Canis lupus familiaris: one gene and its partners. The protein of the gene in region 1 purifies or fractionates together with the protein of each later gene. This does not show direct contact. Links are inferred from orthologs where the notes say so. Each region holds a gene or a part of one and is shown in the gene's direction. Other genes may lie near its edges.

Region 1 (7,525 bases):
GCCATTATTGAATGATGGAGTTTTATGTAATATTATCTGAAATGGGGTGACTACTTGAACCATACAAAATGTCCACTATTGTGAAATGAGAATAGATCCTTGATTTTATACTTCTATTTTGATTCACCTGAGAAATAAAACTTACCACCTCAGAGAAGGTAATTTCCATATGTTTTGGATTATATTGAGCATTAATTCTGCAGGGTCATTATAGACTTAGAAATGTTTTGTCCGGGATCCCTGGGTGGCGCAGCGGTTTAGTGCCTGCCTTTGGCCCGGGGCACGATCCTGGAGACCCGGGATTGAATCCCACATCGGGCTCCCGGTGCATGGAGCCTGCTTCTCCCTCTGCCTATGTCTCTGCCTCTCTCTCTCTGTGTGTGTGTGACTATCATAAATAAAAATTTAAAAAATTAAAAAAAAAAAAAAGAAATGTTTTGTCCTGGGGCGGCCTGGATGGCTCAGTGGTTTAGCGTCGCCTTCAGCCCAGGGCGTGATCCTGGAGTCCTGGGATTGAGTCCCACATCGGGCTCACTGCATGAAGCCTGCTTTCCCTCTGCCTGTGTCTCTCTCTGTCTCTCTCTGTCTGTCTCTCTCTGTGTCTCTCATTCATAAATAAAATCTTTAAAAAAGAAATGTTTTGTCCTGGGCGTCTGGGTGGCTCAGTTGGTTAAGTGTCTGCCTTCAGCTCAGGTTGTGATCCCAGGGTTCTGGGATGGAGTCCCGCATCAGGTTCCCTGCTCAGCAGGGAGTCTGCTTCTCTCTCCACCTTTCCCCCCTCCACTGCTCGTGCTCTTTCTCTCTCAAATTAATTTAATTTAATTTAAAAATCTTTTTTAAAAAAACTGTTTTGTCCTGCCTTCTTGTTCATGCCCAAGTGCCTTCCCATGGTGGGAGGAATCTACAAGGCACCCCAACCTCAACTGCACTGCTGTTGATTGTTGTAACTGTTCATCCTTGTATTGGGTTAAAATCTGCTGGCTATAGTTATATTCATTGACTCAGCTTCACTCAAGCTACACTGAATTTGGATCCCTTTTCTATATAATGGCCGCTACAGCTACAGCTCTCTACCCACAATTTTTTCCCTTTGAGATAAACACTCAGCTCTTCTACCTGTTCCTCATTGGACACCATTTTCGTCATCCCGGATTGCTCTCTATAGATAGGATGCTTTGTTAATGTTCTTTCTGAAGTGTTTTCAGTACTGAAGATAATATTCAATGTGTAACTGAATTGGATCTGGGCCTTGTACATCTGGACATTAATGCAGCCTGGAGTTGCTTTAAGTTTCTTTTTTAGTAGCCATGTAATGTTGGCTCATAATGAATTTTTTTTTTAATTTATGATAGTTACACAGAGAAAGAGAGAGAGGCAGAGACATAGGCAGAGGGAGAAGCAGGCTCCATGCACTGGGAGCCCGACGTGGGATTCGATCCCAGGTCTCCAGGATCGCGCCCTGAGCCAAAGGCAGGCACTAAACTGCTGCGCCACCTGGGGATCCCCCATAATGAATTTTTTAAAAAATTTTTATTTATTTATTTGAGAGAGAGAGAGATCACCGGTGGGTGGAGGAAGGAAGGGGCAGAGGGAGAAGCAAACTCCCAGCAGAGCAGGAAGCACAAAGCAGGGCTCAATCCCAGGACCCTGGGATCATGACCTGAGCTGAAGGCAGATGCTCAACCGACTGAGCCACCCAGGCACTCCATGAATTTTTTTAAGTAAGCTCTGTGCTGAACATGGGGCTTGAACTCACGACCCCAAGATCAAGAGTCTCATGCTTTACCAACTGAGCCAGCCAGACACCCCTCATAATGGAATTTTTAATTAACTAAAATCCCAAGATTTTATTTTTTTTATTTTTTTTTTAAATTTTTATTTATTTATGATAGTCACAGAGAGAGAGAGAGAGGCGCAGAGACACAGGCAGAGGGAGAAGCAGGCTCCATGCACCGGGAGCCCGATGTGGGATTCGATCCCGGGTCTCCAGGATCGCGCCCTGGGCCAAAGGCAGGCGCCAAACCGCTGCGCCACCCAGGGATCCCCCAAGATTTTAATCTAGAGGTTTGGCTTCACATGACTTCTTTCCAAACCAAGTTTCCATTTTCCTTTAGTTGTGCCACAGGTTTCTAAAGTCAGAATGTAATGTTTAATATCCCTATTAAATTTCATCTCAGCCTATGAGACAGCCTTGGTTATTATCATCCAGTTTATGCTCATTGAACAAGGGGTCTTGAAGCTAGTGTCAAAATGTTTTCAGACATCTGGGAAACAATAATGAAAAGTCATGGAGACTATCTTCCAAAAATAGTTCTATGCAGATATATCTCTGCTCTTGCGGTATATATGAATTACTACCATTGTAAATTGACAAGACCAGGAAAGACTGAAGTTTATTGCCACCCTGCAAGACTTGTGTTGAACATTATTACACTGAAATGATGTTCCAAGACATATTGTGCTAACATAATGCCAGGGCTGCTAATTCTTCCCAAGAAATCAATTAATTGACATATGAAGTAGAGGCAGAATTATCATGACCATTCTTTTTCTTTTTTTTTTTTTTGCCAAACATATACTGAGCACACACAGTATTAGGAATAGTGCGAGATTCTAGAGAATCAGGTTTGCCTGGGGCAACCCTGATTTATCCCTGTTGTCCTAGTGTAATTATTAGTAGCATCATTTTTCACTTTCCAAAGTGTCCAGGTTTGGAGGATAAATTATCTGGCCACCCTTCTCATAACCCACCTAGTTCCTTTAGTATTTTATTTCGGTTATATGTTACACAGCTATAATGTGGCAATTTTAATGAGGCTGCAGTAGTACTTCTCTTCCATTTGAACAGATCATTTTTCGACCATGGGAAGTTGATAGCAAAACTTACTGCAATTAAGGTCTATACATACTTACTATCTTTCCTGAGCTACCCTCTAGAGGGCAGTAATATATACATCCGAAATGATCCAATTCCCACAGAAAATGGACTACAGGAGTCCCATTTTCATATGCATGAAAATCAGAAACACTCAAGTGCTCTTAAACACTCGATGCTCATATTGGAACCAGTGTTGTGAGTAAAACTCAAATACCTTTTGCTAAGCAGAAAAGTAAAGAAATAATAAAAATTAATTCATTAACATTCTGAACATTTTTTTTAAATTGAAAAACTGAACTTTGATGGCTTGAATATATAATGATCTATTATAACAATTATGCATAGAGTTTAATAATCTGCATAATTTATGCTTTTGTTTTTCCTAATTAATAATTTTACATGGTTAATAATTTTAATATATTCTGTATCACAGTTTCCATATTTACATAAAGTAATCAATTAAAGAACAGTTTTATTCTACCTGCTTGAATATTACTTTCCTCCAGAAAATGAAAATGCTGGTTTTTACTTTATAAAGCTTGAATCATATAATGCAGAGCTCTAGTATTTGGAATTAGAATGTTTTTTTTAGAGATTGTGTAATTAATTTTATGTCATCAGGTAATTTGTTAGCTCCTAATATCAAAATTATATTGCCTGTGTTTCAGATTTTGAATTTTCTAATGTAATGTTCTCTTTTCAGAAAAGGTGGACAAGTCCTATTTTCAAGAGAAGATGACTTTTAACAGTTTTGAAGGAGCTAAAACTTGTGTACCTGCAGGCATCAATAAGGATGAAGAATTTGTAGAAGAGTTTAATAGATTAAAAACTTTTGCTAATTTTCCAAGTAGCAGTCCTGTTTCAGCATCAACGTTAGCACGAGCTGGTTTTCTGTATACTGGTGAAGGAGATACTGTGCGGTGCTTTAGTTGTCATGCATCAATAGATAGATGGCAATATGGAGACTCAGCAGTTGGAAGACACAGGAAAGTATCCCCAAATTGCAGATTTATCAATGGCTTTTATTTTGAAAACACTGCTGCACAACCTACAAATCCAGGTATCCAAAATGGTCAATATAATGCAGAAAACTATCTGAGAAACAGAGATCATTTTGTTTTAGACAGACCATCTGAGACTCATGCAGATTATCTTTTGAGAACTGGACAGGTCGTAGATATATCAGACACCACATACCCGGAGAACCCTGCCATGTATAGTGAAGAAGCTAGATTAAACTCATTTCAGAACTGGCCAGACTATGTCCACTTGACCCCAAGAGAGTTAGCTAGTGCTGGATTCTACTACACAGGTATTGACGATCAAGTGCAGTGCTTTTGTTGTGGTGGAAAACTGAAAAATTGGGAACCGTGTGATAATGCATGGTCAGAACACAGGCGACACTTTCCTAATTGCTTCTTTGTTCTGGGCCGGAATGTTAATATTCGAAGTGAATCTGATGTTGCGAGTACTGATAGGAACGTCCCAAATTCAACAAGTATTCCAGAAAATCCAGCCATGGCAGATTATGAAGCACGGATCGTTACTTTTCGGATGTGGATGTGTTCAATTAACAAGGAGCAACTTGCAAGAGCTGGATTTTATTCTTTAGGTAAACTTTATTATAAAACCAGGCTAATAAATAACTTTCCAACTATCCCAGTCCCCCTAAAAAGTGGATTCCTTTAGCCCCCTGAACTGGTAAATAAAGGCTGGCATGATTAATCTGTGAACCTTTATGTTGAATTTGCAGTGTAACTACTACATTTATGTGAAAAAGGACTACTATATTGTGAGTTATATTTATCTTTGTTTTTTTGGAGAAGGATTACATGCAAAAGATGATAGATCTCCCAGATAGAAGAATGGGTCTGACAGTAATATAAACTATAATTTATTGAGCACCTACTGTATGTGCTCAGTACATGTATCACATGCATTCTTTCTATACCTCATAAAAAGAGTTAACATTAGAGAGTTTAGTTTGGCTGATATTAAAATTGATACCTGCCTTTTGTACATAGAGTTTATATTTGAAAGCTGCCCTGTATGCCTTTTTGCTTCAAATAAGCACTTCTCTTTTTTTTTTTTTTTTTTTTTTTTAAATAAGCACTTCTCAAATGGACTACTGTAAACTTGTCAGGAAGGGCCCTTAGTGTGATGACTTCCAGGAATATTCAGAAAAGTTATACCATCATATATCTGACTCATTAGCTTTAGGATTGAGTAGTGCCAAAATACAAAATATTAGTTATTTCAATATTTTATTCACATAGTATCCTGTAGCAATTTTGAAGGTTTGTTTAGTGTCATGTAGCTATAACCCTAGAGAAACTTACTTTGTAATTTTGTTAACCTGAGCCTTATTGTTAAAGTTTCACAGTTTGAAAAAGTGTAGTATTGGTAGACCCAAATGATAACAATTTTAATTTTTCACATAAAAATTGGTCAATTTATTTTGTCTTCTGTAAAATACCTCAAATTGAATCAGTGAATTTAGTGTGTATTCCCTCCTCAAACAGTCATGGCTGTTATTTAAATGTGAATTTGAATGTCGTCTTTGAAGCTGAGATTCTCATGTAATTTAAAATGGTTAATTTCATGGTGTTAAAGGGGCATTTTTGCATAGGCTTCTAATTGCACAAATACATGTATTTTTACTTGTGTCTCTTCTTAGGGGATGGTGATAAAGTAAAATGCTTTCACTGTGGAGGAGGACTAACTGATTGGAAGCCCAGTGAAGACCCTTGGGAACAACATGCTAAGTGGTTTCCAGGGTAAGGTATTTAAATGTTTATTTAGGAACAGGCAAGTTAGACACTTTGCAGTCAGGAAAATCTTGAATAACTTTTCACCTAACTATTTTTGCCTTCACTATGGCTTGCAATTCACACCAAGTTTATAAAAATGGGGTCACCTACTTTATAGAAAAAAAAAGGCCCTAAGCCTTCTCTGGTGACCAAAGCATTCATTGCTTATATGTTATATATATGACATTCAAATTATTCTATTTCTAAACACTAATTAGGAATATATAGTTTTGTTGTTAGAAGTAGGCTCTTTCACAATGACCACGGGAGAGCCCTTGTTGCCAAGGATTTTTTCCTTGGAACCCATCACATCCCCTAGCAAATTTTACTGTATCTCTCTGATTATAAGACACACAATTGTTCACATTTTCAAATTTTTGAAATGATACATCTGGTGGTGGGTCATAATTTAATTGGCAGCGGTGGTACATAAAATAATCATCCTTCTTATAATCAGTGGCATCTTAGAATGATAATAACATACTCTGTCTCTTTGTCATCTTGTTTCTTTAAAAATATTCATACATATAAGTGATGTAAAATTTTTGACCTACAAACTAGTACAATTTAAAACTTCAGAGCGATTGTTTGAAAATAAATCTTAAGCTTAAAAAGCCTTAAAAGGAAAGGTTGAAAGCCTAAGGAGTTCCTTCAGAGTGTGTAGTTGGTTAATCCTCTAAACAAAATTAAACTATTTAAAAAATTAAATCTTAAATTTAATAACTTGGTTTAAGGTTGGAAGTTCTCAAGTTGTTATTTTTTGCCTAAGATTACCAAAGAGTAGTATAACAAAGGAACGTATTTCTTTAACTTTGAAATGACAGTTGGTAGAGATTAAATAACATTTCATTTTGCAGCTTCTTAGAAATACCAAAAAGGAAGTTAATGGAATTAAGATAATGGAGATATCTGTATTTATACTTTACTGATTTATCAGCTACCAAAGTTTAACCTTCTTTTAATTGTTTAGGTGTAAATATCTGTTAGAAGAGAAGGGACAAGAATATATAAACAATATTCATTTAACCCATTCAGTGGTAAGTCACATATTGTAGAATATAAAATATTATTTAATTTGTTTTGCAATGATTTCTTGGTGTAAAATTCACAGTATAGTATCTTAAATTAATAATGTATGGTGGGCTTTAAAGGGGAGATCTTGAAGAATGCTTGTTATTTCTTTTTTTTTTAATTTTTTTATTTATTTATGATAGTCACACAGAGAGAGGGAGAGAGAGGCAGAGACACAGGCAGAGGGAGAAGCAGGCTCCACGCAGGGAGCCCGACGTGGGATTCGATCCTGAGTCTCCAGGATCGTGCCCTGGGCCAAAGGCAGGCGCCAAACCGCTGCGCCACCCAGGGATCCCGAATGCTTGTTATTTCTTAACCTGAAGTAGCTTTGTGAAAGAGGAATCCCCATAAGCTGATTGATTTAACTCACTGTAAATAAAAATGGGTTTGAAGAACTAAAATACTTAATCCCTCAACTTTCTGAAATTAGACTTTTGTATAATGTGTTTTATACTCATAAATAATTGTGAACTTTCCAAAGGCAATATTTTAAATCTCAGAAGCGTGTCTAAATTGATGGCAGCCTGGGATGGCTAAGGTATTGGTACCATGTGGGAAGAGCCATGGACTAGAATGGGAAGCCAGAGTTGTCATTTATGGCTCTACCATGAGCTCCCTTGCCTCAATCGAGTTGTTTAAACTCCCTGAGACTCAGTGCCCTGTCTATAGAGTGAGTGGATTGTGTTAGATGATCTTTTAACTTCCTTCTAGTGGGGATCCCTGAGTGGCTCGGTGGTTTAGCACCTGCCTTCAGCCCAGGGCGTGA
Region 2 (7,651 bases), on another chromosome or scaffold:
TTTTTCAAAAGAAAGAGAAACCATTTCATTCTGTATAAAAAGCTACAAGCCTGGCTTTGGAAGGTTGACCTGCATATTTAAATTAGCTGCCAAATTTTCAATTCTCTACCTTGTAGTGGCCGCTAAATCCTTCGCTTCAAGATTTTGTTCCACCTCCAGACAAAATCTTGCAGAGGCAGCCTCGGGCGATGCCCTCACGTGGCTGTAGCGTTTTGCAGGCTGAAAAGATCAATTTACGGGGGTGATGATTCCTGCGTGGCGCCAACTTCCTTACTCCCAGGGATGGGAGGCTGTCCTGAGGGGTGGGCGGGGGCACGCAGCCCCCCTTTGCAGCAGGTGTCGGAGGGTCTGAGCGATGGTAAGGTGCTCTCTCTTTTGCACCCGTAACAGCCCCAGCATGGAGGGGCTCGCAGTGGTCTCAGCTCAACGCGCAAGGGAGACAAATCCCTAATCGATCCAGGTTGCTGGGCTCTTCCAAGTGCCCTGAAAAGCGGCCAGTTCTCTGGACGTTCACTTACCTGCACTCGGCCACCCCGCTCCGAGGCGCTGACCGGTGAGGGGAGCCGGACGGCCAGAGACATCCTTAGAGGGGATCCAGGGGAGCTGCCTTCGCCAGAGCCCAGACCAGGCGCCAGCCCAGGTCGGTCAGCAAGTGAGCGAGCGGTGGTGCAGCACACACCCAACTCACTCAGCAATGAAGGAACCTCACCGAGGGGCTCAAAGTCGGCGCGCTGAGGGGCCCAACACGAACGCGTCTGCAGAGTGAGCTGCCCGTGTGCTGCGAGGCTCTAGGACAGCAGCTGCACTGCAGGGAGGGGAGCGGAGCCAAGGCCTCCTGTGGCCACACAGGTGTATGCGCTTGTTGTCACGGACGCCACCGTCCCTCGCTCATCCGGGCACTGCTCTGGGCGCACATCCGTTCGACTTCGCCGTAACTAAATTACGCTGCAACTTAAGTTACTCACAGGGATGCAAGCGCAGCGACTGCCCAGCCCTGGGATGGCTGAGATGGTCATTGCTCAAAATCTTAGGGCCCCGAGGCCACCCTGACCAGACACGGGCGAGAATGCACCTCCTGCCAGCCGTGCCCGCGGTGTGTCTCTCGGGAGGGGGAAGCGTGTTCCCTCCTCAACCTGGTGAACGTTCATTTCCACAACGTCCCACTTTCTGAGGTTATGCTGCTCGGCACCTGCTTCACACACAGCCTGACCCTGGGCGGCAAGTGTTCTCGGAGCATCCTCTGGCCTGGGCAGGGCAGGTGTCCTTACCTTGTCCCTCCACAGGCCCCTGTACTTCCCTTTCGGTGACATCTGTCCCAGCCGGGGGGAGGGACCCCGCTGGCTGTCCTCAAGGCCGCTCCGAGAGCCCAGCGCAGAGCCCGGCATGTTACAGGCTGAACCGTGTCCGCCCTGGGGATTCCTGGATCACCCGATTCCCTGCACCTCCCTGCACCTCCTGTCGGGACTGTAGCTGGAGAGAAGCTTCCTTCCTAGCGTTGAGACAGAACTGACGTCTAGCACAGGCCCTACTGGCGCACGTACCACCGTGTGGGCGCGGGGTGTTCGGGGCGACCAGCCGATGCGCACACAGTAGGAGCTTTACCACCCGAGCTCGGCTAACACGTGGCAGCCCATCTTCCTGTTGCCGCGGCTGCAGGGACAGCAGCTGACATCTGCTCTCAGTACCTTCCAAGCTGCACAGGTGGCCTCCGGCCAGCACCTCCCCGATTCCCGCCCCATCCCACCGCCACCCCCTCTGCTGTTTCTGGGAGCCCGACGACGTGAGGTGCCGCGGGTGAGCGGCACAGTCCAGCATTTGTCCTCCTGGCTTACCCCACGTAGCATCATGCCCTCCGGCTTCCCGCGGGTTCCTGCAAATGCCGCGCTCCCCGGAGTCGGCGGCCGCCCCGTAGGGCCGCAGGGTCCTTCGCAGCCCTCTGGACAGGGCCGCGCTGACCCGCTCGGTGCATTCGAGCCCCGGGCCGGGGCCGCGCTGACCCCGCGGTGCGGACGCTCCCTCCCTCCCTCCCTCCGAGTCGCCAGCCTCAGTCCCCCCCCTCCGCGACCCCCGCCGTGACCTCGGTCGTGACCCCGGCCGTGACCCCGGCCCGGGCGCTGCCGGCAGGTGGGCATGAGGCGCGCCGGCCCCCCGACACCCACTCGGCCCCGCGTGCGTCCTCGGAGGCCCCGAAGCGGCTCCAAGCGCGGCCACGCGCCCGCAGAGAACGTCCCGAGCCCCGCACCACGAGGCCCACACCCCGCAGGGGCCGCCCTCCGCCGGCCGGAAGTGACGTCGCTGCCCCGGAAACGCGGCCGACCGGCACGCCCACTTCCGTGACGACGAGGAGCTCCTCCGACCTCGCATCTCGGAGAGCGCGAATCCTCCTCCGGCGCCGGCGGCTTGGACGACGGCGGGGAACCAGTGTCAACCCTCGCGTCGGCTCCGCCCCGCGCCAAACCCCGAGCAGCCCCGCCCCTCCCGCGCGGCCCGCCGCGGCCCCGCCCACTCCACCGCGGCCTATCCCGCGGCGCGCTTTACGCAAGGCCCGCCCTCGGCGCGTAGGCCCCGCCTCCAACCTACGCTGGGCCAATCCCGCGCCGCGGCCCGCCCCCGCCCTGGCCCCGCCCATTCCACCGCGGCCTATCCCGCGGCGCGCTTTACACAAGGCCCGCCCCCGGCTCGCCGGCCCCGCCTCCAAGCTACGCTCGGCCTATCCGGCGCCGCGCTCGAGCCCCGCCCCCGGCCTGCCAGTGCGGCGCACCCTCCGAGCCTCTCTCCCCACGCCGCTGCCTTCCGTGCGTCCCGCGCCGCCGTCGGACCCCCCCCCCCCGCCCTGGCCTTCGGCGTTTCCCGCGCAGCCGGGCCCCGCCCCCGTCCTCTCCCCCAGCCTATCCCGCGCCGCGCCGCCGCCGAGCTCCGCCCCCTTCCTCGCCGCCGGCCTATCCCGCGCCGCGCCGCGTTGGCGCGCGGCTGTGACGTCACGGGTGGCGGCGAGGCGCGCGGCGGAGCTGCGCCGCTCCGGGCCGGCGGCCATGCCCAAGCGGGGCTGTCCGTTCGCGGACGCGGCCCCCCTGCAGCTGAAGGTCCGCGTGGGTCAGAGGGAGCTGAGCCGCGGCGTGTGCGGCGACCAGCACTCGCGGGAGGTCTTCGGTGAGTGCGGGGCGCCCTCCCGCCCGCGGGGGCCCGAGCCGGCGGCGTCGCCCCGGCCCCGCGTCGGCCCCGCTGCAGGCCCCGGGGAGGGGGAGGAGGGGGCCCGGCTGCGGGGGCTGCGGGCGCCGGGCCGCGCCGGCGAGTACCCGGAGCTGCCGAGGTGAGGCTCCGGGGTCGCCCTCTCCCGCTGTCCCCGGCCCTCCCGAGCAGCCCTGGGTCGCAGACGAGGCTTTCTGAGCCCTCGAGTGATAAAGCTGAGCGCAGCCTGGGGCCGACCCGGTCAGGGCAGGCAGGCAGGCAGGCAGCTTACCTGCAAGCGGGGGACAGTCCGGCAGCTCTTTCCCGCTGCCTTGAGGTCCTGGGCGTTCCAGCCGGGCAGTCACCCCAGGCCACCTCCGGGCCGCGGGATCCCGGGACAAGGTGAGGAGGAGCTGCGTGGGGCAGGGCTCACCAGCCGCCCATTTGAGTCACCGTCCACGTCACACGGAGCCAACGGCTTCCAGGGCCTGTTGGGCCTGGCCCCGTGGGGACGAGGCAGGAATCACAGAGCATCTGGGGGCTGGAGTTGGGCGTTTGATCTTGCGAAAGCCCCCGATGACGGACGTGTGGCGCGCGGAGAGCCTCTGCTGCTGGTGCCGAGCCACCACTTCGGCTCTCAGGTGGGAGTGTCCCGGGCCCACAGGCGTCTGCGGAGCTCCAGGAGCGCTTTGTCAGGAGCCGGTTTCTGTCGTGCTCTGTAGTAGGTGAAGGGGGTGCACGCTGGCCGGGGCTGTCGGCCCAGCTCTGAGCCGCTGGGTGTGAATGAGTGATCTGAAGCCCAGAGCGTCCTCTGTGCTATACACCAGCCGGCTTGCAGGGTGCCGGGCAGGAGAGAAACAGCAGTGACATGAGGCCACTTGTGGGGAAAGCCGCATGGAAGGTCATGAGAGGGAGCCTGGGTTGGGCTGCGTGGTGCAGGATCATCCTGGCGGAGGTGGCCGCTGAGCCCTGGTAAGGAAGGGCGAGCGGACCCAGTGGTCCCCAGCTCACCAGGGAGCATCCTGGGCCGGGGCGGCTGGATGACAGCACAAAGGAGGCCTGGCCACGGCAGCTGGCAGGATGAGGGGGCAGTGCCAGGGCTTCCACGTTGCAGGGCTGTGAACACTGGGACTGATTTCTCTTCCTCAGAGAAAACCAAGCAACTCCTTTTTCGAGGGGCCCAGGCCTACATGGACCACTTGTGGGAGGAAGGCTGTGCCATTGTTGACCTGCCGGAGTCCCCAAAGCCCGGCCCCACAGAGGCCCTTCGGGCAGCCCGTGGGCAGATGCTGATTGGACCAGATGGCCGACTGACCAGGAGCCAAGCCCAGGCCTCTGAAGCTGGTGAGTGAGGCCAACAGCAGGCACTTGCCCAGCCATGCGCTAAGGGTGGATCTGAGCACTTGACTCCTGACACTGTCTGCCTGGGAGCTTCTCCTCCCCTCCCTGCAGGGGCAAGAGCTGGCCCTGGGGTCTGAGGAGCTGGTGAGCACCAGGAGGCTCCCGACCTTAGGAGGTTCTAACCCCCATCCACCCCCGGCTGATATGCAAGCCTGCAGGTTGTGAAGCAGCTTTTAGCTGGGGGATCAGGATCCACTTGCAGCAAGACCCAGAGTCTCAGCTGGGTGGCTCCGCCGGTCCGGCGCCTGTGTGGTGTGCAGCTCAGACGACCACCTTTGTTGCTGGTTAAGAGCCATAGTCCCTGCTGCCCCCCTCCCCAAGGCCTGGACTCGGGCCCAGGAGCTCTGTTAACCAGTGATGCAGGGCCACACTTTGAGACACGGGTGCTGGACACACGAGACGGGGGCCACAAGAGTTCTCATACAAGCCACAGTGGGGAAGAACCGATCCTTCCAGTACCGACATTTGAATAGCGAGAATGGAAGGAGCACTCAACCCAGAGTCATGGAACCAGCCCTGTAACATGCTCCCAGGCACTTGGGGTCTCCCTAGTGAACAAGGGTCTGTGGGCCGTGCTTTCTCGTGGGGTGTCAGGAGGACCCGCTTGCAGGGAGTCCGGTCAGGGGTTGTCGGTGGCCCCACAGCCTCCAGCACTTCAGATCCCTGCAGGGCTGACGGATGGCGTTTCGTTCTTACAGACCCCTCCGGGGCAGCGACCAGAGCCTGCTCCTCGTGCGTGCGAGCCGTGGACGGGAAGGCAGCGTGTGGCCAGTGTGAGCGTGCCCTCTGCGGGCGGTGTGTGCACGTCTGCTCCAGCTGCGGGGGCGTGGCCTGCGCCCTGTGTGCCCTTGTGGAGTAAGTGGTTGACCGTGGGGTGCCCGCACAGGCACTTGAGCACCCCCGTGACGTTGAGGCCTGGAGGTTGGGAGAGCGGCCGTCTGGCACTGCCCCTGGGGACGCGGTGGTGCCAATAACTGCTTTGCCTGGTTTTTTAAGTTTTTCTGAAGACTGAGCTTTTGTCACAGAACTGCAGATCACATAGGCTGCCACTTCTGCTTTGCTCATAGTCTTCTGTCTCAGTAACTTCGTGATCTGATCTTTCAGGCTCCGACGTAAGGACTGCGTCACATGGTTTTTCCTGTTGGTCTGCTCGCCAGTGCAGGAAGCAGGGGTGGGGGTGGGGGTGGGGAGCAGGCGCAGGCCTGTATGTGTGTGGCTGGGTGCGGGCTGTCTCGAGCCAGAACGGACCGTCTGCTTAGTGTGTTACTTGAGTGCGCGTGTCTGCCTCCGCTGTCTGGATCCCGCGCCTGCTTGAGAGGCACCAGGTACCATTCCCACCCCAGTGGCCACTTTTGGTGCCGGCTGGGAGTGCAAGACGAGGCCCCCACGCAGACTTGGAGCTGGTTGTGCGGACCTCACACTAGTTTAGTCACAGCAGCCTAAAGCCAAGCGTGGAAGGCAGAAGCCCACCTCAGGTGGGCCAGCCGGCGGAGCCTGGGAAAGCCAGGGGCGGGGTGGGTCCTGGGAACCCCTGCTGTCCTGTTTGGGTTGTATGTTGGCCAGTTATGCATGTGGAATACTCTTCCCTTTGCTTCTGCGAGCTTATTTTTACCTTCCTGTCTCTGTGCAGACTGAAGAGGGCTGGGCCCCCGCGCCTCCAGGCCATTTCCCTGGGGAGGGACCCAGTTGGGCAGCGTTCAGGTTTAGGGAGGAGTTCCTGGAGCCCTCCCCCTACCCCTCCATGTGTGGCAGCCTTCCTCCTGTCCTGACGGTGTCCTCCTGGCCTTTATCTCCTGCTTCCTCTTCCCCAGCTACCTACGGAGTTCACCCTGTGATGGGGGAGGGAGTGTCCATTTCTTAGAGCTACGGCCAGGGGACGGGCTCCCTGCTCCAGGCTCCAGGTCCCAGGGCTGAGGTGGCATCCCAGGTTTAGAAGGCGGCCTGGGCCTGCTGCTCCCTCCCTTTCAGGGGCAGCCCCTTTGGGTCCTGGTATCCGGGGCCACGGAGCTGGGAGCTGTGCCAGGCTCTGCTTCCACTAAAAAGTAGCCCTGCGGCCATCGGCGTCCTGCCCACAGCTGGTCACCTGTGGCACGTCCGGTGCTGCGGTGCTGTGGGCCACAGGCTTACCGTCTCCCCTCCCCTCCTGGTGGCAAGCTGCGCTGCCTTCTTGATGGCGCATCTCAGACTGAGGCCTCTTTCCAATTTTCTTGTCTTTTCGTGGTCTCTCCTAAGGACCCTCCTCTGTGATTTGCTAAACTACTGTGGTCCAGTAAATTCTAACTGGATGCCGGGAGGTTCCCGTGTGGGGGGCCACAGGTGGGCCGTCGGCTCTCAGTCCAGTAGGGCTGCTGTGACAGACAGCAGTGGGCGGTAACTTCGCGTGTGGGGTTAGGGCCCACCCGCCTGCGGTGTGGCCCTGGCTTAGCTAGATCTGCCTGCGGCTCACGGCTCCGTCCCCAGATACAGTCAAGGGACTGGGGTCAGCACCACAACATACCAATCCCGGCGGACACAACTGAGCCCCTAAAAGCCGTTTTCTCTCTTCCCTGTGACATTGCAGCTGTGGTGACGTTCACGAGTCGGTGCTCTGTGCCAGCTGCGCCATGTTCGAGGCCTGAGGGCTGGCCTTCCCGGACGGACTGCACCGGTGTCGATGCCGTAGAACTGTGGGGGGTGGGGGTCTGTTTTATATTTTGTACCGAGGGCAGAAGTGAATAAACCTTTTATATTTGGACGAGAGGACTCAGTTACCGGTTTGGGGGCGTGGCCTCCTGGAGCAGCGCCCCACAGGTGGTGTGCTGGCCCCCTGGGCTTCCTGTGGGGTGTATAGATGGGAAATGGAAACGGGCATCCACAGTCAAGCTACTGCAGCCCCTCCAGCCAGTGATGACGAGAGAGCATTTGGATCCAGGCTTTCTGACGCCAGAGTGCAGAACCATGGTGCCAGAGCAGCTGGGGCGGGACGGGATGTGATGTCCCACACTGCCCCTGAAATGCCACCACTACGTGCCCCCATCTGGGTGTCCACTTGGTTTTTCAGATGCCTGCGTGGCCTGGCTCCAGGTGACCGGACGGTCCCTGT
Region 3 (6,929 bases), on another chromosome or scaffold:
TCTGCATTTTTTTTCCCTGGATACTAAAAAATGTATATTGAAGATGTTTTGGTTTGGGGTCACTACAGAGAGGAAGATACTATATTCCTGATACTTAAGTCCGTCCGTGATTTTCCTATTTTTGATCCATCCTACTGGATGATAGTAGTAAAGTCCATTATCTTTTAAATAACTAAAATCAGCAGAATGATAAAAATAATCATCTTCGTCTTAGTCATTTGTTTTAAACATAAAAGATACCATGTATGTCAGTGAGAAAAAAATTTTCTGACCATTGACTTTTTGAATCATTTTTAAATGGTAGGGAGGATTTGATTTCAGTTACAAAATTTCTGTTAACTAGACCTTTTAAAAAGCCTTTTAAGAGTTAATTAAAACTCCCTAATATGAATGACTAACTGGTCAAAATACTAGTATTAAAATCTAATGATGGAATACTTTTATTATGGGCAAGCAGGAAATTATGTGTCATGGTGAAATTAACTTTTCCTTAGCATTAAGAGAATTCCCTGATAAATACTCAGTAGTATCATTCTATGAAAATTTATTATTTATATTTTATTATGTCAGAGAGGGAAAGATGATCCCTTAAACCTTGGAAAATGAAACCATTTGGGATTTTATGTAAGATCAACTATGTTATTAATAGTGGCAATTAAATTGAAATTAAAAAGTCAGCTTTCTGCTTTTACAAGCTAAAACACTACTATAAGTATTTATAGATTTTTGGCATGATTTAGTGAAGTTCACAATTTAATTTAAAAAATTAACCGAATAGCTTTTCTGTTTCATGTAAGATACAACTATGTTTAGCCAGGGGTGTACTCTCTAGTTTTAGTAAGCTTAAATTTAGTAGTGGCAAAAACTCCTCTGTGTTTAACCCCTAGCATAGCCCAACCTAGGATTGTCCAGATCATTCACTGCTCACCTCAGCACATGTGCAGAATTCATCACTATGTGCCTCTCCTCAGAGGTAGATAGGGAAATGTCTCGACCAATTTGATCATTAACATTCAGGTAATATTAGTTCTTTTTGGTTCTTCAACCTCCTGGTGAGGGTTGCCCTGACATTACAACATTTGACAAGACCTAGCGCTCACCTTGGCAAGGCCTCCTGACTTCAGCCTAGACTAATCTGGCCATACCAGTCAACATGACTAAATTCATGAAAGTAAAATAAAAATTCTTCTTTGCTTCTCTCACTTTCATCTGTTCTTCCAGCCTTTCAACCCCAATCTCATGTTTTTCTTTTCTGTGACCTAAAATACCAATAACTAGAAATCATGCGAAGGTCCAAAATTGACCTAGATTTTGGCTTTGCCTTGAAATACGGCAAGCTTGTGGTTATCATTTTTAGATAATTTTGTATGTAATTTTAGAAGTTGATACTGGTTTAAGCTTATATTTAATGAAGTTCAGCTTTTCACAATTTCTGAGAAAAAGTATTGATAATCAAGCTAATCAGTAAATTACAGGGAAGACATATTGGTGAAGACTTTTTCTTTGAAGTCCCCCTGATTCAGGAAAAAATTAGAAGTACATACATAGGTTTAAATAACCTAATTAATTAGGTTTTTTTTTTAAGGGGGGATTTTTATGCATTTTTGGAAAAAATTAAAAAGCTTATCAATTTAATAATCATAGCACATACTGAGTGCTCTTGGATTTCTATTTATAATATATTAGATATAGAGAAAGACATGGATACCCAAGAGCAGTTAGTGAGAGAAATGACTAGACACAGTAGAGGGAGCCACAGAGGGGGAAAAACCCACTGAGGAATTTTTCTTATTTGCAAAGATGGAAGTATAATACATGGCCCACTGCTTGCAATCTTAGAGTCATAATTCTGGCACATTAAAAATTTAAAAAAAATCATCATACTTTATTTAATAAATTTAAGACACTACTAAATTTTCAGCACAAAGCTGAGTGTTTTAATAGTTAATAGCACAATCCTTGAATTTTTTTTTCCCCATTCCCTGAGTACTGTGAAACACTGGTATACTTAATTTTAAAATACATATCAGACACAGAGTATTTATTTAATAAGATATATCAAGTATGAAAGATTTAAGAAAGAGTAATAGGAATAGAAACGTTGAAAGAGTTCAAGAGACTAATTTTTCCTATAAAGTCAGGGGCAAATAATCTTTAATCAGTTGTAATCTTGTTGGAGATTACATAGTTTGAAACTGTTGATGTGGGTGGGGAAAGAGTTGGTCAGAGAAATAACAAGTTAAGTGTATTTCTTGTTCAGCCATTTCAGTTAGTATATGATTTTTGGTCAGATAAGACTACTAGGCAATACACTGTTACTCTTTCTTTATTGCTGTCCAGTATTTAGTAAACATTACTGAATGTTTTTTCAAACTGAAATACAAACTTGAGTATATAAAATTACTCTTCCTTCCTAATTCTCCATTTAGTATAAATAACAACAGCAATAACAGTAATAATAACCACCATATGTTGAGTGCTTACCATATAGGTTAGCATTGCATGGTATTTCTTACATGCATTATCTTACTTCATTTGATTTAGCTTAGCTTTTGGAGTCACTTGTAAGCACATTCACGATGGCTTTGAAAAAGAAAACTAGAATATCAGTCAATAATAAATTATTGAAGTTACTGAACCATCAGACTGTCCTATTTTTTTATTGCATTGCATGCAGTGCATTGCTGTCAGCCCGACCTTGTCTTTATCTGCACCACTCTTTCAAGGAGTTACTTCTCAGGGAAAGGGCTGAACAGTTCACTTGTTTAACTCATTTACTCTCTCCTAACAGTGGGAAAGCAACTACTTCTGAAATAAAAAGATCCTATTACTTCACAGTTATCCTGCCTGCTTCTGGAGGCATAAATGTTAATCCCATGTGACTCATGCAAGTTGTTATGACAGTTTACCTCTTTTGAAATACAAACAAAAGCTGTCTGTTCAAAATACTTTGGTAAAATCGACTGGTTGTTGGATTTAACCCATTCAGCTGTTTTGTGCATGACATTGAGCTATAATTTCCATACTGTTCATACTCCCATCAAAAACATCTTCCATTTTCTACAGTGATTCTTATTAGGAGAAGTGGGAGGGGGTTCATGCTAGAATCTGTATAAATAGAAGATAATCTACTGGAAGAGAATGTGTCTCTTGTTTTCCCCCTTTTTTCATTAAAGAACACGAGTATTCAGGGCAGCCCCGGTGGCTCAGCGGTTTAGCACCGCCTGCAGCCCGGGGTGTGATCCTGGAGACCCGGAATCAAGTCCCACGTCAGGCTTCCTGCATGGAGCCTGCTTCTCCCTCTGCCTATGTCTCTGCCTCTCTCCCTCTCTCTCTCTCTCTCTCTCTGAATAAATAAATAAATAAGTCTTAAAAAAAAAAAAGAACACTAGTATTCAGGGAATTGACACAGCCTTATAGTACACAGCATGATTAAGGAAAGAGAGCTATGAGGTTTGATTAGGTAGGGTCAGTGAAGACAATATAAAGTATAAAGGTCCCATTACCACTGTTTTTTTTTTATTTGCCTTTAAGATTTTGTTTAAATTAAAGTTGGTTAACATATAATGTAGTATTTAGTCTCAGGGGTAGATGTTTTTGTTTTTAATTGAACAAGGGCTTATAAGCTTTAATGTTACACAATTTATAGCCAACTTAAATTGAATCAGAGTATGGTTGCATTTTGATTATCTGGTAATTGGATGTTCTCTTTTACCTTTAGAATTCAGAATAGACTTTCTTCATTACCAGTAGTAATAACTTTTATGTATTACTTATTTTATGAAAAAAAAATGCCAATATCTCATGCATGCTTTCTTGCTTTGTCCTTATAATTATTTATGATATAAAATAAATAAAATACATACTTGAATTCCAGATACCAATGGATCAGATAACTCTATCCCAATGGCTTATCTTACACTGGATCACCAACTACAGGTAAAGAATTGCCTTCTCAGTGACTGTTTACTATTTCCTTAGAAAGTTTAGAGAAGTTATCTAGAAAGCTGACAGTTGTGTTTATATCTGTCATCATATATTCACTTACTTATGCTTTTAGTTGGCCTACTTAAACTTTCTAAAATCAAGTTAAAATGATTCATTCAGTTAAATTAATCAAATCTGAAGTTGGCAAAATCATATGTTCTTAAGATATTTAATTGTCTTAAAACACTTCCATATCTTTGTTTAAGAATGGCAAGAAATAGGGCAGCCCTGGTAGCTCAGTGGTTTAGCGCCACCTTCAGCCCGGGGCATGATCCTGGAGACCCAGGATCGAGTCCCATGTCAGGCTCCCTGCATGAAGCCTGCTTCTCTGCCTCTTTCTCTGTGTCTCTCATGAATAAATAAAAAATCTTTAAAAAAAAAAAAAGAATGGCAAGAAATAGGAGATGCCTGGGTGACTCAGTCAGTTAAGCATCTAACTCTTGATTTTGGCTTGGGTCATGATCAGAAGGTTGTAAGATCAAGTCCCACATCAGACTCTGCGCTGGGTATGGAGCCTCTTGAGGTTCTCTCTCTTGCTCTCTAAAAAAAAAGGAAAGAAAGAAAATGCCAAGAATATAGCATTTTTGATCTCTAATTTTAGTACTGTAATATAAAATTTGCATAAGCTCATTTGTACTTAATAGATTTCATGATACACTGTCAATGTCTCATGTTCATAGTGACTGAAAACATAAGTAATACACTTCAGTGTCTCCTCATGAGTATGAAAGCCATAAACTTATCGTATAATATGGTTTGACAACCTGAAATGTAAAGCCAGAGGCGAGTGATACTCTATAGTCATGATTCTCTGTAACAACAAAAGTGTTAAGACAGCAAGTGTGAATTTAAGTTCTGAGTTAACTCTGACAAAAGGACACTGAAATTTTCTAGGCCATGGTCTAACACTTACTTTTAAAAGACCATTGCTTTAGTGCTATAAAAACATGTCACAGTCACTGTCTTAACTTTCAGCTTGATATTAAGATTTGATTTAATTATGTTTTAACAGTCCTGATTTATTTTCAGCCTCTAGCACCGTGCCCAAACTCCAAAGAATCTATGGCAGTGTTTGAACAGCATTGTAAAATGGCACAAGAATATATGAAAGTTCAAACAGAAATTGCTTTGTTATTACAGAGAAAGTAAGTTATCTTTTGTGAATAAACACGTTAGTATTTTGAGTTTAAAATATGTTAAGATGAAATATTGTTGGAAGACATGAAAGCTTGATAATTTTTAGAACTAATCATTAAGCATGCAGATGCCTGTTGAACGGCTTGGGTGTTGGGGTGCTGAACCCCCACTCATTCAAAAATCCATGTGTAACTTTTGATTCCCCAAAAATGCTAATGGCCTACTGTTGACTAGAATCCTTACCAATGACATCAGCAGTCAATTAACACCTATTTTATATGTTTATGTATTATATACTATATTCTTAAAGTAAGCTAGAGAAAAACTTTTATTAAGGAAGTCATAAGGAAAAGAAAATACATTTACAGTACTGAACAAAAATCCATGTATAAGTGGATCCATTTAGTTGAGACTCATCTCATTGTAGGGTCAACTGTATTTCCAATTTGGAGGTTTTATATGTGTTCATCTTTTAAGTTTGAAGGAACTTTCGGCTGTTTTTCATGTAAAACTCAACCCATTGGCTGTATGTATTATATTAAAACTAAGGAAAATAAACTGGTGTTTCATGTTCTAAGAATTTTGAAACCAGAAGCTGGTTAGATTTATAGTTACAATGATTTATTGTTTCCTTAGACATAGGTAAAATAATTTGATTTACTAATGTTCAACTGTACTTTATCTTAGAAATGTTTTATTGATATAGTCTTTCCAGGTATATATTTAGGAGAGTAGGATTACTTTATTTTATACCCATGAGTGTTTTTATAAGGTGTTTTATACTCACGCATATGTTTTTCTGAGAGTTATTGAGTTTGCCTTCCTCTCCTCCCTTTTTTAAGAAAATCAATTTTCATGCTCCTTTATTTGAAATTCTTAAAAAAAAAAAAACAAAAACTTAAGTTTCTGCATGGATCCTCATTTTAGAGGGAACTGAAATGAAGTGCTATAGGAAAAAATCATGGCATGGTAATAGGATTCCCTCTATTGATTTTAATCTAAATAAGTGAAAATTTCTTGCTTTCTGAAGTAATTTGTGGAAAGTTTCCGTTTGTACTTCAAAAAAAAAAGAAAAAATAGCTCTATCACAACTTATTGTTAAATGATTGCAACTCTACCTTAAAGGCTCTATAGGAAATAAATATTTGAGTCTGCAAATTGTGGAGCTAATTGTAGAACTGTTGACACTTTATGTTTTTTAAAAAAAACCTCTTACTTTACATATTTAGTCTATACTTTTTTCCTTTTTTATTCATTTGAACGAGGAGTTGGTTCTGTGCTGGAAAAAGAAATGATAGATTGAGGGAATGCGAAAACTATGACAATTTTAATCAATTTTATTTAAATACTTTGAGAAATACTACAAGAAAATCATCTGGAGGCTCTTCATTAATTATTCATTTATATCATTAATTAATCACTTATAACTTCACTTTAGGAGTTAAAATTGAACATCTCCCAAATAAAGGGGTCTTTAAAAAGTTTATCAGGCTGTAAAAGTCTCTAATGGTCTTCCTGAAAATGTTTGTAAAAGTAACTCATTCGAAATTGGTACTTTGTATTGTTCTCACTTTTAAAGTAGGAAATAGATTTAAGTTGATAGCATCTATTTTAATTAGCTTGCCAATGTTTTATGAGCCCCCACTTTGTACTGTAGTTAAATAAGATGTAACTTCAAACATAAATAAAAGTTCACGAGTGTAAAAGTGGAATGTGAATGATAAAACATGTTATTTTCCTGTGCCTAGAGCCCTTCCCCAGCCTTTTTTCTTCTTCTTACACAAAGGGGATACCAAGTAAAATGT
Region 4 (7,555 bases), on another chromosome or scaffold:
CTACATCCTGGCCGCCCCTCTGCTCAGGGGGTCCCGGCTGGAGCCCCTGACACTGTGAAAGCTGTTTTTTTGTTACCACCAGTACAGACACGGCCTAGACACCCAGGGTACAGAGGGGCAGAGGGGCTGACATTTCCCCTCACCTCTGGTGCTGCCCGCCCCTGCGAGGGTGATATCCCTGGAGGGACACGTGGCTGGGGGGACTGTGGAGACTCTGGGAGGCCCCCAAGGGTTGTGAGGGAGATGGGGGCCATGGGCGGGCAGCACCAGAGGTTCCTGCAGGTTCCCCAAGGATCCCAGCATGTGGACAAGCTCGGGGGTGACCCAGAGCCCACGTGCTTTAAGCCCCCAGAACCCACCCTTGCCCCAGATCCCTGTCCGACTCCTGACATCGGGACAAGCCACAGGTTCTAGCAAAAAGCTGCTGTTGTAAAGTCACATATACAGCGGGCCTGCTCACGGTGAAACGGGTTAAAAGGTGTAGACGGACATGTGGCCACATTCAAAATCCTCTGATGGGGACGCCTGAGGGGCTCAGCAGGTGAGCATCTACCTTTGGCTCTCAGGGGGTGACCCCGGGGTCCTGGGATCGAGTCCCACATCAGGCTCCTCTTAGGGAGCTTGCTTCTCCCTCTGCCTGTGTCTCTGCCTCTCTCCCTGTGTGTCTCTCATGAATAAATAAAATCTTAAAAATAAAGTCCTCCAACTACACAGTAGTGTCTTCATTACATTTACAAACCATAAAGGTAAATATAAGTAGTGACGCTAATTGCCGACAGACTCAATTGTTTTATGGACAAAATTCGGGGAAACAGAAACACGTGTAAAATGCTCTAAATAAATCGACACGAAGTGTATCATATCTAAATGTGTCCTAATGGAGGTGCAATTATCTGCATCATTTTTCTTGTCTGACCAATGCACCCTGCATCTCCCTGTGGAAACAAGTGTTTTTTTATTCACCTGATTCACTGACGCACCAGTGATTTGGGACAAGTTGCCTTTACCGGGACCTGGTTCCTCAAATCTTTGGGTCACTCGGTCATGTCATTAGTAACAGGATGTGGACTCCAGCAAAAAAGGGAAAAGGTGCCTTTTGTACACTCACAGGGAGGCAACCTCGCACACAAGTTCTGGGGGCACCTGGCCTTATGTCCCCTCTAGGCCCCCAGTTGAGTCCAGAGCAACAAGGAGACAGGAGCCAAACCAGGTGAGGTGATCACCTAGCAGCCGAGTGTGCTCCCAGGATCCAAACTCAGCCCTCCGTGCCCTCTGACTATCAGTGGGGGAAGACCAGCCACGGCCACTTTTCCTGGGTTCAGAGTCTGACCGGGGGAGAGCCTGGGGGTGGCAGGACATGTATTTGCTACCCCGTTGTGCTGCCCCTGCTGTACCTCAGTTTCTTTATCTGAAGCCAGGATGATGAAATAGAACCTTCCTTGATGCCTCTTACCCGGTGAGCACGACTGCAGCATTTGTACCTCAGGGCCACAGGCTGCTCTCAGGGCCAGCCCAGCAAGGCAAGCATCGCTGCGAAGAGGGTCACGGGATTCCTCTGGCTTCCCCATGAATATACGAGTTAGGTTCACGCCATACTGTCGTCTATAAAACAATGTACCAGCTTAATCTAAAAATACATTGCTCAAAAATGCCAGCCTTCCTGAGCTTTTAGTGAGTCCTGACCACTGATCACAGGTCCCATCACTTCAAAAACAAACCTGAAAAGTTTGAGGGACGCCCGGGGGCCTAGCAGGTGAGTGTCTGGCTTCGGCTCAGGGCGTGATCCCGGGGTCCTGGGATCGAGTCCCACATCGGGTTCCCCGCAGGGAGCCTGCTTCTCCCTCTGCCTGTGCCTCTGCCTCTCTCTGTGTGTCTCTCATGGATAAATAAGTAAAATAGTTTTTAAAAATTAAAAAGAAAAGTTTAAAGTACTGTGACAATTACCAAATGTGACCCAGAGCAGGACATGAGCAAACGCTGTCGGAGACGCGGTGCGGGCAGCCATGCGGGACGTAGGGTGGCCGAGACCCTCACTTCGTGAAACGCACAGTCCCTGCGAGGTGCGGCGAGGTGCCCTGTGCAGATTCACAGGCGAGGAGAGCACCCCCCGGGGTGGCCTGCCCATCGTCCTTCATCACCAAGCTGCTCAGTGACCTACGCCTGAACCTGGCATCTTGGCACACAGCACCTGCACCCCCGACTCCCCACCCAGTCCTCCGAGTGCCAGGGACCCGGGGATGGTGCAGGTGCAAGAAGCTCCCTGCAGAGCAGGAGGGAGGACAGAGGTGTCCGGAAGGAAGGGGATGTGTGGCCCCTGGGAGCAGGGGTCGGTCTCAGGCGCGGGCCCGCCTGGGTCAAAGCCGAGGGACTTGCAGCCCCTGGGCTGAGGTTTGGGGAAATCGCTCCCCGCCCCAGCACAGTCTGTTCACAGCGGGCACTTTCAGTTTTGTTTCTTTGTCTGCAAGAAACGAAACTCACCGGGAGCCCGAAACTCACAGGAGGAGAGGCCGGGGGGCTGAGGCAGAGCAGGAGAGGCTCATCCCAGAGGTGACCGGTGAGATGCAGCTCCTGGCGGGGGAGGGGGGGATCGGAGCCACAGGAGGCCTCCAGGGCAGGAAGGGGCAGGAAGGGTTAAACTCAGTGGAGCCCAGAGGACGGGGGACAGGGGTCAGGCGCTACCCACCCCGGGGACAGTGAGACAACCTGTGGCAGCCCCAAAGCCTGAGGCCAGTTGTCCCCAGTGGGCTGCTCCTAGAGCAGGGTTCTGATGTGAGGGAGACAGCCCCCCCGCGACACCTCCAGGGCCGTCCCCACCTGGCCCCTTGCAGCCTCACCCACCGCTTCTTGCAGGCAGACCTCCTGTGGATGTTGTGACCCTGCTTTGCCCTGCCGGGAGGGGACATGGGTGATCTCACCGTCTCGCTTGTGCTTGAGGCCTGAGACCTCCTCCCCGGCCCTGGGTGAGGACTACAGCTGTACTATCGCACCACCCAATGGCCCATTTTTCTCTCCCCTTGATCCGCAGCAAGAAAAGCGTGGCCGCTGCCCACCTGGCCGTCCATCCGTCAGTCTGTGAGACCCACTGCCTGCTGATCCATCCCCAGCCCGAGGCAGGGAGCCCGTCCCACAGGTGAAGATGGACGACCATGAGCCCCACCAGCAGGTGCGGAGGCAGAGGTGCGGGGGTCCAGTGCGGCTGACATGGTGGCCCCTCCCCCACCATGTCCTCACGGACCGGGCAAGTGGTCCCTGTTTCAGGAAAGGCTGGATGTCCTGAGAGGAGGGGACGCAGGCCAGGAAAGCTCTAAAAAATAGCCAGGCCAAGGCCAGCTTCCTTTCCTGCTTCTTCACATGGGTGCCCCCTGCAGCCCCTCCCGCCTGACCCGCAGGTCCCCCAGCAGCTCCCCCATCCCCCAACCCTCAGGTCCCCTGCAGCCCCCTCCCTCCCCCCTGACACTCAGGTCTGGGCAGATGGGTCCCACACTCACTTCCTGAGCATGGGGCTGGTGCTGCAGAGGGACAGGCAGCCACCCTGGCCCCTGCTCCCAGGAGCCCCCAGACGGTAGCCTAGGCAGACACAGAGGGAGGCTGCGGGTATGGCTGGGACCCTGGCTTCTGTGTGTAGTCAGATGTCAGTGGGTCACAGCTGTGCAGAGTCATCTTCCAGGGGGTCAGGGTCCAGCATGGTTTCCTAACAAACAAGCAGGCAGGAGGGGGGCATAGGGGGTGGGGTGCAGAGACACCACTGTCTTCTCTCCAAGGTAGGTGTGAGGGGCAAGGAAGAAGGAGCTCACCATAGGGACACAGGGCCCCCGTTCCCCAGAGGCTGGTAGAAGAGCCTCCTGTGGCCCCTGCACCCAAGACGGCCGCTGCTCCCCAGGGGGAGTCCCTCTTGGGCCCTCCTGTCTGCTCCTCATGCACTCCAGTGCCCCAGGCAGATCGGCTCCTGTCCCCCCAGGGCTGCCGTGCCTGGGGTCTGGTGACCTTGCCTGTCCTCCCTGCCTCCCTGTAGGCCACGGAATACTTGGAGCGCCCCATGGAGCATGGATTCCACGAGCTGGCTGGGCACCTCAGCGCCCTGGGCCTACATGAGCCCCACGGTGCCAGCTGCAGGGAGCTGTGCCCAGACTGCGGCCAGCCCATTGGGCTCCGGGTGTGTCGGAGAGAACAGGCCCGGCTCAGCACAGGTGAGGGCCAGGCTGGAGAGGGCAGGGGGGCTCCTGGGTAAGGGTGGACACAGGGACGGGGGTCTCAGCAGGACAGGCAATAGCTGTGCGCATCTCCCATCCGCCTGGCTGTTGGAGTTCTGGACCTCGGACCTGAACAGCCTCCGGTGTCATCCACTGTAGTCCTCTGGGGACTGGTCTAGGGGGACCAAGAGGCTGGGGACAGAGTCCAGGGACCCCCACACAACGGGAGGCTTCGCTTGAACTCCCACAGGATGCTCCCAACCTGGGAGAGATCCACCTGCACCCTTCTGCGGGTACGCAGAGCTTGCAGGCGGTCACAAGACATGTCTCCTGCAAGACAATCCAGCCGAGGTCAAAATCAGCACATGAAAAACTGGGATCCTTGAGACTCGCACCATTTCCTGCATCTCAGCGTGGCTGGGCTTGCACACGGTGTCATCAATATGACACGGCTTCCACACACCCAACACGCAGACATGCACACAGACACCAGCTTGCTGCCAGAGCCTCTGGGTCACTGGCGCCGTGGCCTCCTCCTAAACCCGTCCTGCTCCAGTAAACCACCTCGTCATCGGGGTTCCCACGCTGCCCCAGGAACCACCGCCGTCCGTGGCCATGCAGGGCATCTCATGGATGATCTGGCCGGTGACACGGGCAGTGCGGGACACTCGCAGCTAGGCAGGCCTGGGGACAGCTGGTGCTCAGGACCGCCAGGGACAAAGGCCATGGACGGGGCTACGGGGGAGCTGGCCTAGCCACTGCCGAGGGCCGTCATTTATGGCACTGTTTCTGTGCTTATTCAGGGACGAGAATTTCACCTCCTGAACATGACATCTACTGTCGTTATTGCAACCAGGCGATCCCAGGAAATAAGGACTTCGGCCGGATGGTGAGTAGCAATTTGTCACTTTCTGCTCATCCCTACTCCAAACACGTGATGTTGGCAGGTAGGGTTTGGGCCTGACCCTACACAGCAGGGCTACTACAGGTTCCCATACTTGTTGCCATGCTTAGGGAGGGAGGTGGGTGGCTCACTCTGGTGACCCAACACTTGCGCACCTCCTTGGCCCCCAGCGCCTGGACTTGGTGGTTTGACCCCCGGTAGGACCTGCCTTGCTCTGTTCTGCTCTTGATGCGAATGGTCTCGGTTGGATGTGAGCTCCGGCAGGAGTGAGCAACTTTCTCCATCTTTGCACAGGGTAGCCTGCATCAGGGCTGGGTACCAAAAAAGGGGGCTTGGTCGAGGTTCCCTATGGGACTGACCAGGCCGGGGGGAGGGAGGACACTCACAGATCCTCCCTCTGGGCCCTGAGCACCTATTCGTGCCTCTACTGGATGTTCACCTTTCCTCTGGGGAAACTCGCTAAGGCTCCTCCTCTCTTGTGTGAAGAGTGTGACCCTGTCCTAACCTTCCACTCAGAGAGCTGAGGCTTACCAAGACCCTAGGACAGTCTGGGTCTTCCCTTGTGGTGGTAAAATATGCACACAATCCACCGTCAGTGCAGCCACCCCCAGTCTCCGCTCCAGAGCATCTTCATCACCCTAGAAAGGAGCCCCACATTGGTGGGACACCTCCCATCCCCAAATCCTCCATGGATTTGCCTGTTGCCGACATTCCCTACAGATGGACTACTAGGTCATGTGGTCTTAGGCCACTGGCTTCTGTGGAGCAGAGGCCTCCAGGGTTCACCCACCTCGCAGCCCCTGCTGGGACTTGATCCCTTGTGTGGCTTCCTACGGGCCTGACACACTTCATCTGCACGCTCGGCTGCCAAGGGGCATAAGGGCTGCTTCCACCGTCTAGTGCTGGTGTTTAAAGGCACAGTCCACTGGGAGGTGGGGGGGGAGGGCAAGCACCATCAGGGTCACTTGGGAATTTGTCGGAAATGCAGGATCTTCTCCACCCCACCCACAGAAAGGCTACTTGAGACCCTGCAGGTCCACGGGATCCCTAGACTCTCACCCTTGGGAAGCACTGCCCCAGCCCCGCGGGTCTCAGGTCTCAGGTAGTGGGTCTCGGCTGTGAGCTTGGAGGCTCATGCATTACCCTGTGTGTCTGGCCTACCGATGCCTCCTCCCATCCTGCCTGTGGTCTTGCGTAGGAGCCAGGAGAGGCGTGGCGAGTGTGAAAATAGGACCCCAGCTGAGGTCCTGACCTTGAGGTCAGGATGTCCATGCAGTCAACAAAGACAGCACTTGCTTACTGGGTGGCGGGGGGGGGGCGGGGGGACTCTAGCCAATGGGGCATCCCATGATTGCAGGGTTGCTCTGCCGCTTACAGGCTGCAGCACCTCCTGAGCCTCTCCCCTCCTTTGAGGGATAACGAGGACCAATCTGTCTGGTCTTCCCTGGGGAAAGAACACCTGTGAGCCCGCAGCACCAGCATCCGTGTGCACGCGGGCTGGGGGAAGGGTCCTGTGCTCCAAAATCCGGCTCCCACCCAGCGCCCCTGGCTCCTGCCCCCCTTGCCCCATCAACTCTCCCCTTTCCGCCCCACAGCAGGCAGAGGTGAGACGGTCCCCAACTTCACTCCACTGGGTCCCAGCATTTGCCAAGTTTTCAAAGGGATGATAATAACCCAGCTCTTGCGTTGCCCCACAGCGGCCTCCTGTCGCCATTTTTTTTTAGTTTGCAAATTGACTGAAATCCTTTATACCACATGGTTGCACGGGTCCTGATCTCCTGCTTTACCTTAACGTTTCTCGGGAACAGAGAAGCCGAAATTATTTCTCTTGATCTCCTGTCCTGCCAGCCGCCATCTCGTTTCCCTGCCCTGCTGGTGCCAGGGTTTGAGCCCAGTGTCTGCCGTTCACTCCTCGTCCCACCCTCTGACTCACCCCCGTCTGGCCTTTGCGCCCTGCCAACCGCCCTTCCCAAAATCAATGATCTTCCCACTGCTAAACTCAACGGCCAGTTCTCAGCCCTCATTGTGTGGAGCATCCAAGGCCACTGCTTGTCACCTCCCTTCCTCCATGTTCTCTCTTGGCCTCCAGAATTCCATACTCTTCCTGGTTATCAGTTTCCCCACTGATCTCTCCCTCACTGGCTCCCCACCCTCTAAATTTTGGGGACACTTGTCTCAACAATTTCATCCACTCTTATTTTTAAAAATGCCTTATACTCAACAGTTTGGCACCTGCCTTTGGCCCAGGGCACGATCCTGGAGTCCCGAGATCGAGTCCTGCATCGGGCTCCCGGCATGGAGCCTGCCTCTCCCTCCGCCTGTGTCTCTGCCTCTCTCTCTCTCTCTGTGTCTATCACAAATAAATAAATATTTTTAAAATGCCTTATATATGGGGCACCTGGGTGGCTCAGTGGTTGAGCATCTGCCTTTGGCTCAAGGCATGACTCCTGGTCCTGGGAAC

What was found.
Region 2: the proteins of XIAP (region 1) and SIVA1 purify together in Homo sapiens (affinity purification with western blotting; 3 studies listed by BioGRID). This does not show direct contact. The link is inferred for Canis lupus familiaris from reciprocal best matches to the Homo sapiens genes XIAP and SIVA1.
Region 3: the proteins of XIAP (region 1) and MAP3K7 purify together in Homo sapiens (affinity purification with western blotting; 3 studies listed by BioGRID). This does not show direct contact. The link is inferred for Canis lupus familiaris from reciprocal best matches to the Homo sapiens genes XIAP and MAP3K7.
Region 4: the proteins of XIAP (region 1) and XAF1 purify together in Homo sapiens (affinity purification with western blotting; 5 studies listed by BioGRID). This does not show direct contact. The link is inferred for Canis lupus familiaris from reciprocal best matches to the Homo sapiens genes XIAP and XAF1.

What each region holds. Positions count from the first base shown.
Region 1 is NC_049260.1:96,090,208-96,097,732, forward strand, and holds the start of XIAP (E3 ubiquitin-protein ligase XIAP), read left to right. Parts: upstream 1-3,605; 5' UTR 3,606-3,613; coding exon 3,614-4,490; intron 4,491-5,555; coding exon 5,556-5,655; intron 5,656-6,658; coding exon 6,659-6,725; intron 6,726-7,525.
Region 2 is NC_049229.1:72,706,863-72,714,513, forward strand, and holds SIVA1 (apoptosis regulatory protein Siva), read left to right. Parts: upstream 1-2,980; 5' UTR 2,981-3,032; coding exon 3,033-3,150; intron 3,151-4,317; coding exon 4,318-4,512; intron 4,513-5,267; coding exon 5,268-5,424; intron 5,425-7,129; coding exon 7,130-7,187; 3' UTR 7,188-7,303; downstream 7,304-7,651. UniProt on the Homo sapiens protein: Induces CD27-mediated apoptosis. Inhibits BCL2L1 isoform Bcl-x(L) anti-apoptotic activity. Inhibits activation of NF-kappa-B and promotes T-cell receptor-mediated apoptosis.
Region 3 is NC_049233.1:49,889,789-49,896,717, reverse strand, and holds part of MAP3K7 (mitogen-activated protein kinase kinase kinase 7), read left to right. Parts: intron 1-3,877; coding exon 3,878-3,939; intron 3,940-5,016; coding exon 5,017-5,132; intron 5,133-6,929. UniProt on the Homo sapiens protein: Serine/threonine kinase which acts as an essential component of the MAP kinase signal transduction pathway. Plays an important role in the cascades of cellular responses evoked by changes in the environment.
Region 4 is NC_049226.1:30,830,989-30,838,543, reverse strand, and holds the start of XAF1 (XIAP-associated factor 1), read left to right. Parts: upstream 1-2,400; 5' UTR 2,401-2,554; exon of another isoform or gene 2,555-2,604; intron 2,605-2,838; exon of another isoform or gene 2,839-2,886; intron 2,887-3,025; 5' UTR 3,026-3,136; coding exon 3,137-3,163; intron 3,164-3,488; exon of another isoform or gene 3,489-3,671; intron 3,672-4,012; coding exon 4,013-4,187; intron 4,188-4,993; coding exon 4,994-5,079; intron 5,080-7,555. UniProt on the Homo sapiens protein: Seems to function as a negative regulator of members of the IAP (inhibitor of apoptosis protein) family. Inhibits anti-caspase activity of BIRC4. Induces cleavage and inactivation of BIRC4 independent of caspase activation.